3 linked regions of the Oryctolagus cuniculus genome follow. The main gene of each other region encodes a partner of the protein of the gene in region 3 in a complex. Links are inferred from orthologs where the notes say so. Each region holds a gene or a part of one and is shown on either strand. Other genes may lie near its edges.

The links.
Region 1: TRAPPC8 (region 3) and TRAPPC12 share a complex: the UniProt entries of both Homo sapiens proteins name them as parts of the multisubunit TRAPP (transport protein particle) complex. The link is inferred for Oryctolagus cuniculus from reciprocal best matches to the Homo sapiens genes TRAPPC8 and TRAPPC12.
Region 2: TRAPPC8 (region 3) and TRAPPC11 share a complex: the UniProt entries of both Homo sapiens proteins name them as parts of the multisubunit TRAPP (transport protein particle) complex. The link is inferred for Oryctolagus cuniculus from reciprocal best matches to the Homo sapiens genes TRAPPC8 and TRAPPC11.

What each region holds. Positions count from the first base shown.
Region 1 is NC_091433.1:197,957,199-197,960,853, forward strand, and holds part of TRAPPC12 (trafficking protein particle complex subunit 12), read right to left. Parts: intron 1,790-3,655; coding exon 1,651-1,789; intron 1-1,650. UniProt on the Homo sapiens protein: Component of the TRAPP complex, which is involved in endoplasmic reticulum to Golgi apparatus trafficking at a very early stage.
Region 2 is NC_091433.1:65,508,407-65,512,061, forward strand, and holds part of TRAPPC11 (trafficking protein particle complex subunit 11), read left to right. Parts: intron 1-1,049; coding exon 1,050-1,115; intron 1,116-1,230; coding exon 1,231-1,387; intron 1,388-3,655. UniProt on the Homo sapiens protein: Involved in endoplasmic reticulum to Golgi apparatus trafficking at a very early stage.
Region 3 is NC_091441.1:45,792,913-45,795,955, reverse strand, and holds the end of TRAPPC8 (trafficking protein particle complex subunit 8), read right to left. Parts: intron 2,436-3,043; coding exon 2,346-2,435; intron 1,576-2,345; coding exon 1,341-1,575; 3' UTR 519-1,340; downstream 1-518. UniProt on the Homo sapiens protein: Plays a role in endoplasmic reticulum to Golgi apparatus trafficking at a very early stage. Maintains together with TBC1D14 the cycling pool of ATG9 required for initiation of autophagy. Involved in collagen secretion.

The DNA.
Region 1 (3,655 bases), on a different chromosome or scaffold from region 3:
AAAGTCACAGACGATGAACGCCAGTGAGGGAGAGCCAGGTACGCTGGTGCCTCTGTCCTTGCCTAACCCCTCCAATATAGGCAAATGTTCTAAGAAAAAACACAAAAGGAAGTTGAAGAAATGTTTTCGCTTCTAGCATTTTGAATTCACCTATATACCTGCTGCTATCAACAGGGATAAAAAAAATATTGCTTTAATTTTTTGAATCATCTACAATAGTTTACTTCAATACTAACCAGGTCTCTCTCTACACCTCCTGAGCTGTCCCACCTGCACCCCTATTCCAGGTCTACACCTCCTGTGCTGTCCCCACCTGCACCCCCTACTCCAGGTCTACACCTGTGCTGTCCCCACCTGCACCCCCTACTCCAGGTCTACACCTGTGCTGTCCCCACCTGCACCCCCTACTCCAGGTCTACACCTCCTGAGCTGTCCCACCTGCACCCCCTACTCCAGGTCTACACCTGTGCTGTCCCCACCTGCACCCCCTACTCCAGGTCTACACCTCCTGAGCTGTCCCACCTGCACCCCCTACTCCAGGTCTACACCTGTGCTGTCCCCACCTGCACCCCCTACTCCAGGTCTACACCTCCTGAGCTGTCCCACCTGCACCCCCTACTCCAGGTCTACACCTGTGCTGTCCCCACCTGCACCCCCTACGCCAGGTCTACACCTCCTGAGCTGTCCCACCTGCACCCCCTACTCCAGGTCTACACCTGTGCTGTCCCCACCTGCACCCCCTACGCCAGGTCTACACCTCCTGAGCTGTCCCCACCTGCACCTCTACCCCAGCCTGGCTCTACATTTTCTAACCACTGCCTCCGAGAAGAAATGCTGAGCCGCTGATTTCACAAAGACGAAGGTGCTGGAATCTAACAGGTACTGCTGACCAATCTGTAAAAGTAAGAAAAACCAAAATGCGGGAACAGCCCTGTGCCAGTGTGGTCCTGAGCAATTCTAAGCGACCTCCATGGAGGACACTTCATCCTCAGGCACCCCAGGAAGTGAGTGATCGCCCTGTTCTCTGGGATGTGACACTGGGGCACAGGTTACGACCAACCTGTCCCAGTCTGCGAGGCTGGGTGAGGAGCCAGGCTGGACCCTGCTCCCAGGAACGGTGCCCACACTGCCTTACAGGGACATCACCCCAGGAGCCCTGTCCTTGTTGTAAACCAGGAGCCGTCTCTCGCGCACCCCTCCAGGGAGCGAGCTTGTCCACAGCCTGCGCTTCTCCTTCCTCAGCTCAGTCCTGAGCCTCCCTTTGCCAGGATCCGGACTTCCCCAAGCAGCAGTCGTGACTGCAATCCCTTATGGGTCATAACCAGACTTAAAACAGGAACACACGTGGCGTGGTCCGTGTGGTGGGGACGGTGCTATGCTTGTACTTGTGCCGGGGCGTCTGGTCCTGACGTGAGGGTGCTTCGTCACCTGTGCCCAGCCCCACCCCAACCACCCTGCTCTGACAGGACGTCCCCCCCCACCCCCCGTCACTGCATTCACAGCCCTGCGTGGGGAGGCTTCGTGCCAGGCAACTTGTTCAAGTTTTCAGAATTAATTAAATAAGGAAAACTGCCGATACCCAATTATGTAAAAGTAAAGCAGAGCAGAACAAGAACATGCAAACGACAGCTAGTGAGCACCGCTGCTTACCCCTCCGTCCGGGATACACGTGGGGGTAGTACTCATAGTAAAGGTCTGGCTGATCCAGACTTCCAAAGGGCTCGAACTCCATCTCAGCGTTCTGGAAGAGGCCCAGCTTCACCAGCAGCGCCAGCCGCACAAACCAGAGCTGGGAACACAGAGGCGATGAAACAAGAAGTTATCTACACACGTCAAGTCCAGAAGTCCCTATGCCTTAGTAATCTGGCATCAGAGTCTGAATTTTAACATTTAAAACAAGGGCTAAACTAACTTGTTATCTTTGCACATTTGCAAAATTATATGTCTATAAGAATACACTTCAGTTTAATAATAACGAGGCAAATGACTCTGATTCAGTTTAACTCGACAACCCCCCGCTGGGGCAGGTTCACAAATCACCATAGGTGCTGTTATGAAGATTCAAACACAGCCCTGCCCCAAGGAGGACGTCCCGTTGGGGACGCACCTGAGACCTGGAGCAGGTCACAGGCAGATGGCGTGTGGAGGGTGGCCTTGAGGGATGAAGAATGCCTAGAGTCAAAGGCCAGGGACCAGTCTAGCACTAGGGAGTAGAAGGAATAAGCGCTCAATGTGGGCCGTCTGCGAGGCTTGTGCGCACAGGGCACTCCTGAGTGCACCCAACAAAGTGACAGAAGTGCAAACTAGAGAGCTGGAGGATTCTAGAAGTAAAATGTACCTTAGCAAAGAGCTCATGATCTCATTTCACCATCAAACATCATGTTGTGGGGCCAGTGTTGTGGCACAGTGGTTTAAACTGCCACCTGCGACACCAGCATCCCATACGGGCACTGGTTTGAGTCCTGGCTGCTCTACTTCTGACCCAGCTCCGTGTTAATGTGTCTGGGTAGACAGCAGAGGATGTTTCAAGTGTTTGGGCCCCTGCACCCATATGGGAGACCTGGATGCTGGGCCAGTCCTGGCTTCAGACAGCTGTTGCAGCCATCCGGGGAGCGAACCAACAGGTGCACTCCTCTCTCTCTCTATTTGCCTTTCAGATAAGTCAGTCTTTAAAAAATCATGTTGTACACTACAAATACACACATTTTCAATTTGCCAATTAAAAAGTTACATGGAAAAAAGGAATTACTAGTTTAAAATAAAACTGAGGTTAGACAGCAGCATCGGGAGCCCAAGATCACACAGCCGGCAACAGAACGAAGGGATGGGTTTCAGGCCGAGCCCAGCGCCCAGCGTCCTCTCACAGCCTCCACATTCACGGCCGCAGGCTGGAGGGTTTGCACACTGCACAAAGGCTGCACTTGACTTGGTGGGCAGGCAGGTGCTCTGCGTGGTTCTGAGCAGGAAGGTGAGACGACCCACACTGTGCTCAGGAGTGCTTGAGGGCTACTGACTGACTGACTGTGAATCCAGACCTGGAGCAGCTTCAGCAAAGGGAGCACAACACTCCCAGGGGGCCTGGACAGAGGTGGCGATGAGCTGAGAGGCGTGAAGGAAAGTAAGCTGTGATCTAGCACACCAAAGGGTGGAGAGACGAGGAGGCAGGGGCGCTCCTCTCCTCCGTCCTCCAGAGTGAGCTGGTGCATGCTCTCCCTTCCACACTGGTGCACTGGTTAAGATGTCCACAGCGATGCCCACACCCACATCAGAATGCCTGGCTGGAGTCCAGACACCTCTCCCAGTTCCACCTGCCTGCGAACCTGCACCCTGCGAGGACACAGATGACAGCCCAGACAGTTAGATCTCTGCATCCCACATGGGAGGCCTGGATGGAAATCCCAGCTCCTGGCTTCAGCCTGGCCCAGCCCCAGCTGTTCTGGGCCTCTGGGGAGTGAATCAGCTAATGAGAGATCTATCCACATCTGTGTGTCTGTCTCTCACGCTGTTTCAAATAAAACAAATTAATAAAAACTTCAGCATCAAGGGGCTGGCAGTGAGGTGCAGTGGGTTAAGTCACTGCCTAAGATGCTGGCATCTCACATTAGAATGCTGGTTTTAGTCCCAGCAGCTTTATTTCCAATCCAACTCCCTGCTC
Region 2 (3,655 bases), on a different chromosome or scaffold from region 3:
CGAGTTTCAGCACTTAATGTGCATTATCTTATTTAATTCTTATAATTATCTATGAAGATAATAAAACCAAGATTTGAAGAGACCATATGACTTTCCCAGAGTCATACCTGTATGCCCAGGATCACACAGCTCATAGGGATGTGTCCAGCTAGGAGTAGAATCCAGATCAACCTAATTGTAACTAAAGGATTCCTACCAACAGAGTGGGTTCTTCTGAAAGATATAATATCCCATTGTCTTCCAAACAGACTCTTTTAGGAAGGAAGTGTATTGCGTTTGTTAAGAGTAGGGCTCCAGGGTCAGATTCTGCCTTTGTCACTTTCTGGCGATGTGACCTGCTTATCTTAAAGTGGCAGTCATTACATTATCTGTTTTTGTTGAGTGGTTATGGATCTTACCACGGGCATGGGGAAGGGGGGTGTTCAAAAAGTTCATGAAAAACAAAACAAACAAAAAAAAAGTTCATCAAAAAGCTGTATATGGATTTCAAAAATACTTTACAACAAACTTAATTTAGCTTTAATTCCATTTTCTACCAACTGTTTTGAAGTACTGTGATGCATACTACATGGATAGTGATTCTAACGACACCTGTGATCATACATTCTTCTTATTTTAGTTATCTTGAGTCAGGGTGTGGTGTAAAGTCCTTGGACAAAAGGAAGACCCAGATTCTAGGCATTACACCACTAGCTTTGTGGCCTTGGGCGAGGTCTTGCATTGCTCTTAGATCTCCTTACTCTTCTGTGAAGTGAGAAGGATGCTTGCCCTCCCACTTCACTAAATCCTGAGGTCATGTCTAAGAAAGTGCTTTGCTGCAGGGATTGTTATAAAACCATAAGACCATTTACTTGAAATAGTGGTCAGGTTTCTCTATAGAGATTGTTACAGATAGCATCTAAGAAAAAGCCTGCTCCTTCCTCACATATAGCTGTGACTATTTATTGATCAGTTATAGATTTGTGTTTTTTGGCCTTCTGTTTTTAAAACTTTATTTGTATGAGAAGATTTAGAAAAGCCATGAAATGCTCCTTTGAATTTCCTTGCAGGATGAAACGGTAACAATAGAAACTGTCTTTCCATTTGACGTCGCAGTGAAATTTGTTTCCACAAAGGTATGCTTCTGTGACATGTATATGTGCTGGAAATCATATGGGTTAAAGAAATTGACTGAAAAGAATAAAATGGGTGACTGATTCCTGACCCACCTTCTGTCTTCGTTTGTGCCAGTTTGAGCACCTGGAAAGGGTCTATGCTGACATCCCCTTTCTGCTGATGACCGACCTCTTAAGTGCCTCGCCCTGGGCCCTCACGATCGTATCCAGTGAGCTGCAGCTGGCTCCTGCCATGACGGCCGTGGATCAACTGGAGTCTCAGCTGGACAAAGGTGAGACCCCGAGTGTGTGCCAGCTTGGGAGCCAGTGCAGTGGCAGGCCTTTTGCTGAGGGAACTTGAGACTTTTACAGGTACTCACAGAAGCATATACATTTAAATTAAGATAGACTTAGTGGCATTTACCATTTGTTTTAGTATACCTTATTTTAAAAGATTAGATGTTTTTCTACTCTAAGGAAGTTATACTTTAAAAATGGACGTGAGGGGGGCCTTGTCCCATATTGGAGTGCCCAAGTTCAAGTCCCAGTTCTGCTTCTGGTTTCAGCTTCCTTCTAATGTGTGTCCTGGGAGGTCGTGGTGATAGCTCAACTGCGTGGGTCCCTTGCCACCCATGTGGGAGAACTGTGTTGAGTTCCAGGCGCTTGGACTTGGCCTGGCCCAGCCCTTGCTGCGAGGGATTTGGGAAGTGAACCAGTGAATGGAACAGCTCTCCCTGAGTCTTTCAAATGAAATGAAAATAAAATTTTTAAATGGAGAAAAAAGTACTTGAAAATAAAATAAGAATATTTTTATATGTGCATTTCTTAAAGGTTGCTGTTTCTTAAATTGATGTAATGTTTACTGTTTATAACTTAAAATGGGAGAACATGATTTTTAGGAAACTGAAAAATATAAAAGAGTACAAGATAAAATTTTCAGGTCACCTAACCAAAGCATCTTCAAAGATGGATTCAAACCCATGATGATGCCTTTCTGGCTCAGTGCACTTTGAGCTGATATGCTTCTTGAGTGTTAGAGTGAATAAAAATTAAATGTTAACTCAAGAAGTAGTATGCTCAGCTGTATTATAGGAATAAATTGTATGAGGGGTGAATTGATATATTCTTAAAACCAAAAATATACAAATTGCTTTATTTTCCTGATTTATTGTCTATCTGCTATTTTATTTCAGTGTTTAAGTATTCAGACTAGTTAATGTACAATACAGACTAAAATTAGATAGGCAGTTATCAGAATTATAGTGTATTTTGGCAATATCTGTCAATAAATAATTAGTAAATATTTATTGAATGCTTCTCTCCAGGGGAGCAGGTGAGATCCTCAAGAAGACATCAAAAAGATCAATTGGTCTCCGTACCCATGTTGATGGGTTTTAGAAAATTTATCTTTTATTTTATTTTATTTTAAAGATTTATTTATTTGAAACATAGAGTTAGAGAGAGGGAGACAGAGACAAAGAGATCTTGTATCTGTTGGTTCACTCTCCAAGTGGCCACAACATCCAGGGCTGTGCCAGGCTAAAGCCAGGAGCTTTGTCTGGGTCTCCCACTTGGGTGCAGGGGCCCAAGCACATGAGCCATCTTCTGCTTTTCCAGGTTATAGCTGGATCAGAAGAGAAGCAGCTGGGAATCGAACCGGCACCCATATGGGATGTCGGCACTGCAGACAGCAGCTTAACCTACTGCACCACAGCACCGGTCCCCATTCTTCATTTTCACAACCAACAGTGTAGCACTTCTATTCAGAAATTAATCCGCTTATTATTAAATATTGTGATCATTTTTAGTTAACTTCTTAGAATTAGGGAGGCAGTTAGTGGAATTTAATATGAGTATTTTAGGGGCCAGTGCTGTGGTGTAATGATAAAGTCGCCACCTGCAGTGCTGGCATCTCCTATGGGCGCCAGTTTGAGTCCTGGCTGCTCCACTTCCGATCCAGGCCTTGGAAAGCAGTGGAAGATGGCCCAAGTCCTTGGGCCCCTGCACCTGTGTGGGAGACCTGGAAGAAGCTCCTGGCTCATTGCACCTGGCTTTGGATCAGCTTAGTTCCAGCCGTTGCAGCCAACTGGGGAGTGAACCAGCAAGTAGAAGACCTCTCTCTCTCTTTCTCTCGCTCTCTCTCTCTGCTTCTGCCTCTCTATAACTCAGCCTTTCAAATAAAAAATAAATCTTTTAAAAAATATGAATAGTTTAGATTTTTTAAAAAAGCAACCTCAAGAAGTTTGAATTCATGCATTTTTTATTAATGGGCTACAATGTATCATTTCTTATTCCTTAAAATTACTTGAAAGTACTGAAATAAAAGTTGACCTTTTTTCCCTTTCACTGCCGATTTCTACTTACAATCAGAATTCCATTAGTCTATTGCAACCTTCACTGGAAAGTAATAACCTAACGTTTAGGGACTTTGTTGTTATTTCATAATTTCACTCAGAGATTTGTTAAACTTAGCATTAGTTAGACACTGTTGCTTGCATTTAAATGAGTGACATTGCAGTCTGTGAAGTGCTGAAAGGTAGAGAAGATTTGATTTAGATGAG
Region 3 (3,043 bases):
AGACAAAATTTGTTTCCTTATGTAAAACAAGGCCATAAAGAGCTTTTAAGACCAAAAACTTGGAGGAGTTGTGCAGCTGATTAAGGTGCTCATGTCCCACTGTGAAGTAGCTGGGTTTGATAATCCACCTCTAGCTTCCAACTCCAGCTTCCTGCTAATGCAGATTCTGATAGGGAGTAGTGATGCCTCAAGTAATTTGAGCTCCTGCCATTCACGTACAAAATGTGACTGAATTCCCAACCAGCTTCAGCTCTGCCTGGCCTAGCAGTTGGAGGCATCTGAAGAATGAACCAGTGAATGAGAGCTCTTTGTCTGTCTCTCTCTGCCTCTCAAATAAATATAGTATTTTAAAAATAAAAAGAACAAAGACTATACTTTCAGTTCTGATAATAAAGCTTTCTCAGCAAATTGGGCTGGTATCTGCTATAATAATATGGTTGCCACTTATTTTAAATAGAGAATATATTAAGTTCTCAGAAATTCAGGTTTTAAAAAAGGCAAGGCATCTTATAAATCTATACAGTGAATAGCATGTCTTTATTCTATTTACAGTACATTTGTTATAAATATAATACATTTTGAAAAGCTTATTTTTAATTAACTTGAGTAGATTTATCATTTAAACAGATCAACTCAATTGTTAAAGTTATATAATAAGAATATGATAATTTTAATGACAAAAATCTCATATTGTGAAATAGCGCACTCTATACTGAGATGAATGAGGGGGAAAAAAGTCAAACTCCTTTCAAAACTATATTCAAAGCATCAGAAAAAATTTTTTTCTTTTTACAAAGTTATGTATAAGCCATAGGGACAATCAGATACTGAAACTTGAAGACTCTATAACCAAAGTTCAAAACAGATTTTAGAGAATTTTGTGAACATGGAAAAATTTGTATTTAACACTCTATAGAATTTCACAGTAAAGCTGGAATTTATAAACTAATGGCTTAACAGGAGTACTGCCAACAAGGCCTTTCCTTCCTCAAAATCATCTCCTAATATTTGTATACCATTGATAAGTTGTAACAGTAGACTTAGACACTGCTTTTTAAGACGGGACTTAATGAGGTACATGGGTATGTTGAAATTCTGTATTATGAGCATGTAAATTATTACCAGGGTTTAAAGAAATATGAAAACAAAAACAAACAAAAAAAGAACGTAAGTATTCCCAGTCCAATGTGCTTTGCATCATCAACAAAATGGCAAGTCAAAGAATTCTGCAGTGATCAGACCCCAACCTCCATAATGTTAGGTATTTCAAATACTGCTGTAAAACCCATTCAGCAAAATTAAACTGATTCTTGTGGATTTCAGTACAAACTTGCAAGCTGTCACACATTATTGATGATGATCAGGGCAGGCATGGAGTTCTGCTGACTTGTTTCAAACACTGTAACTTGGTCCGACAATTTGGCAAATATCCTAGGAGTTCCAAGATTATAAACACCTGTATGAACAAAGCATGCTTTCAGCTGCAAACTGTGGATCTCCTGGCCTTTAAGCTGAAGTTTATACTGTGTTTGTCCAAGCCATGTGAATGATCCATGGATTTCCAATGCTTCTGGACTAAGAGAGGAGGAAAATAATAAGTTACAGAGCTTCCTCTATATTATTTTTTCCCCAGAGTCACATAAATATATTCCTTCCATTCAACAATTCTACTTCTAGGAATTATTTAATGAAGCCAGATACTTATTAATAATAACAATGTTCTATTATTATAACAGCCAACATGTATTAATAATAATTATTTTTAAGCATAATGCTAATAGTGAGTTAATATTTAATTCCCACATCTAGTAAATGATGAAACCTGATTTCATATCTGAGCTTTTAATCCCTTGGTTATTCATATATAAAAATAAATGTGTGTACAGAGTGCTTATAACACTGAAACTGTAAGACTGAAAAATGGAAACCAACCCAGTACCCACTAACTAAGATATACATAAACTTGTAAAATATCTGGATTTCAAAGAACTGTTCCAAATCCTGTTTAAGATATATGACAGTAATATTCAGTATATGCTTCAAACTATTTTTCTAAAAATCCAAAATTTCTAAATGTCAAAAAACATCTGGCTCTAGGAGTACTAGATATGGAGATATGGCACTAGAATTTTTTAAGTATTATTTTATAATTGGAAATGAAAATTTTAATATTTAATATCTCTGTAACACTTCCATAACACCACACACAAAATCAGGACATGATGGAGTAAACATTATCTTTCCATATTACAAAGTTATTTATAGAATAAAACAATATTAAAATGCTCTAAAATTACTTTAAAGCTAAAGCCACAAAATAACTTTTCACTGAAAGAAATCTTTACCTTGTTGTTTTATGCCGAAGATCAACTATTACATCTACATCAGCCTGAGAACAGTTGGAAAGTAAAAGGGTAACTGGTACTAAACAAAGGCTATGGAAGAAAAATAAAGAGTTAGCTTGTATTTTTTCCTAAAATAACTTTCTTATTTTTTTAATCTGAAAGGGGAAGAGAGAGATTGATCTTCCATCCACTGGTTTACTTCCCAAATGCCAAGGCTGGCTAAGCCAAACCCAGGAGCCCAGAACTCAATCCAAGTCTCTCATGTGGGTGGTAAGGACCCAAGTAGTTGAGCCATCATCTGTTGCCTCCCATGGTACACATAATCAGGAAGGTAGAACTGTAAGTAGAGCCCAGACTCAAATGCAGGCACTCTGATATGGGGTGTGGGGGTGGGTACCAAGTGGTGTCTTAATTGCTGTGCCAAACATCTGCCCCTAATTCTGTTGTTTTTATGTTCATTTTAAAAATCATTTAATTTTTTAGAACTTGTCCTGGATTGACATTTGCTTTCCTATCTAATTACATAAAGGTATATATTTTGGAGAATATGAGAGTTTTTCTATGTAAGTTATAAAAAAAATTACTTTCAAGTGGACACGTGCTCAGTTAGCCTAGTTTCTGATATCACTTCATAGTTAATAAAAGATCAAAGCCTCGGAAAAGGACAGGTAGTGACAGAAGAGGAAATGTGAATGGAG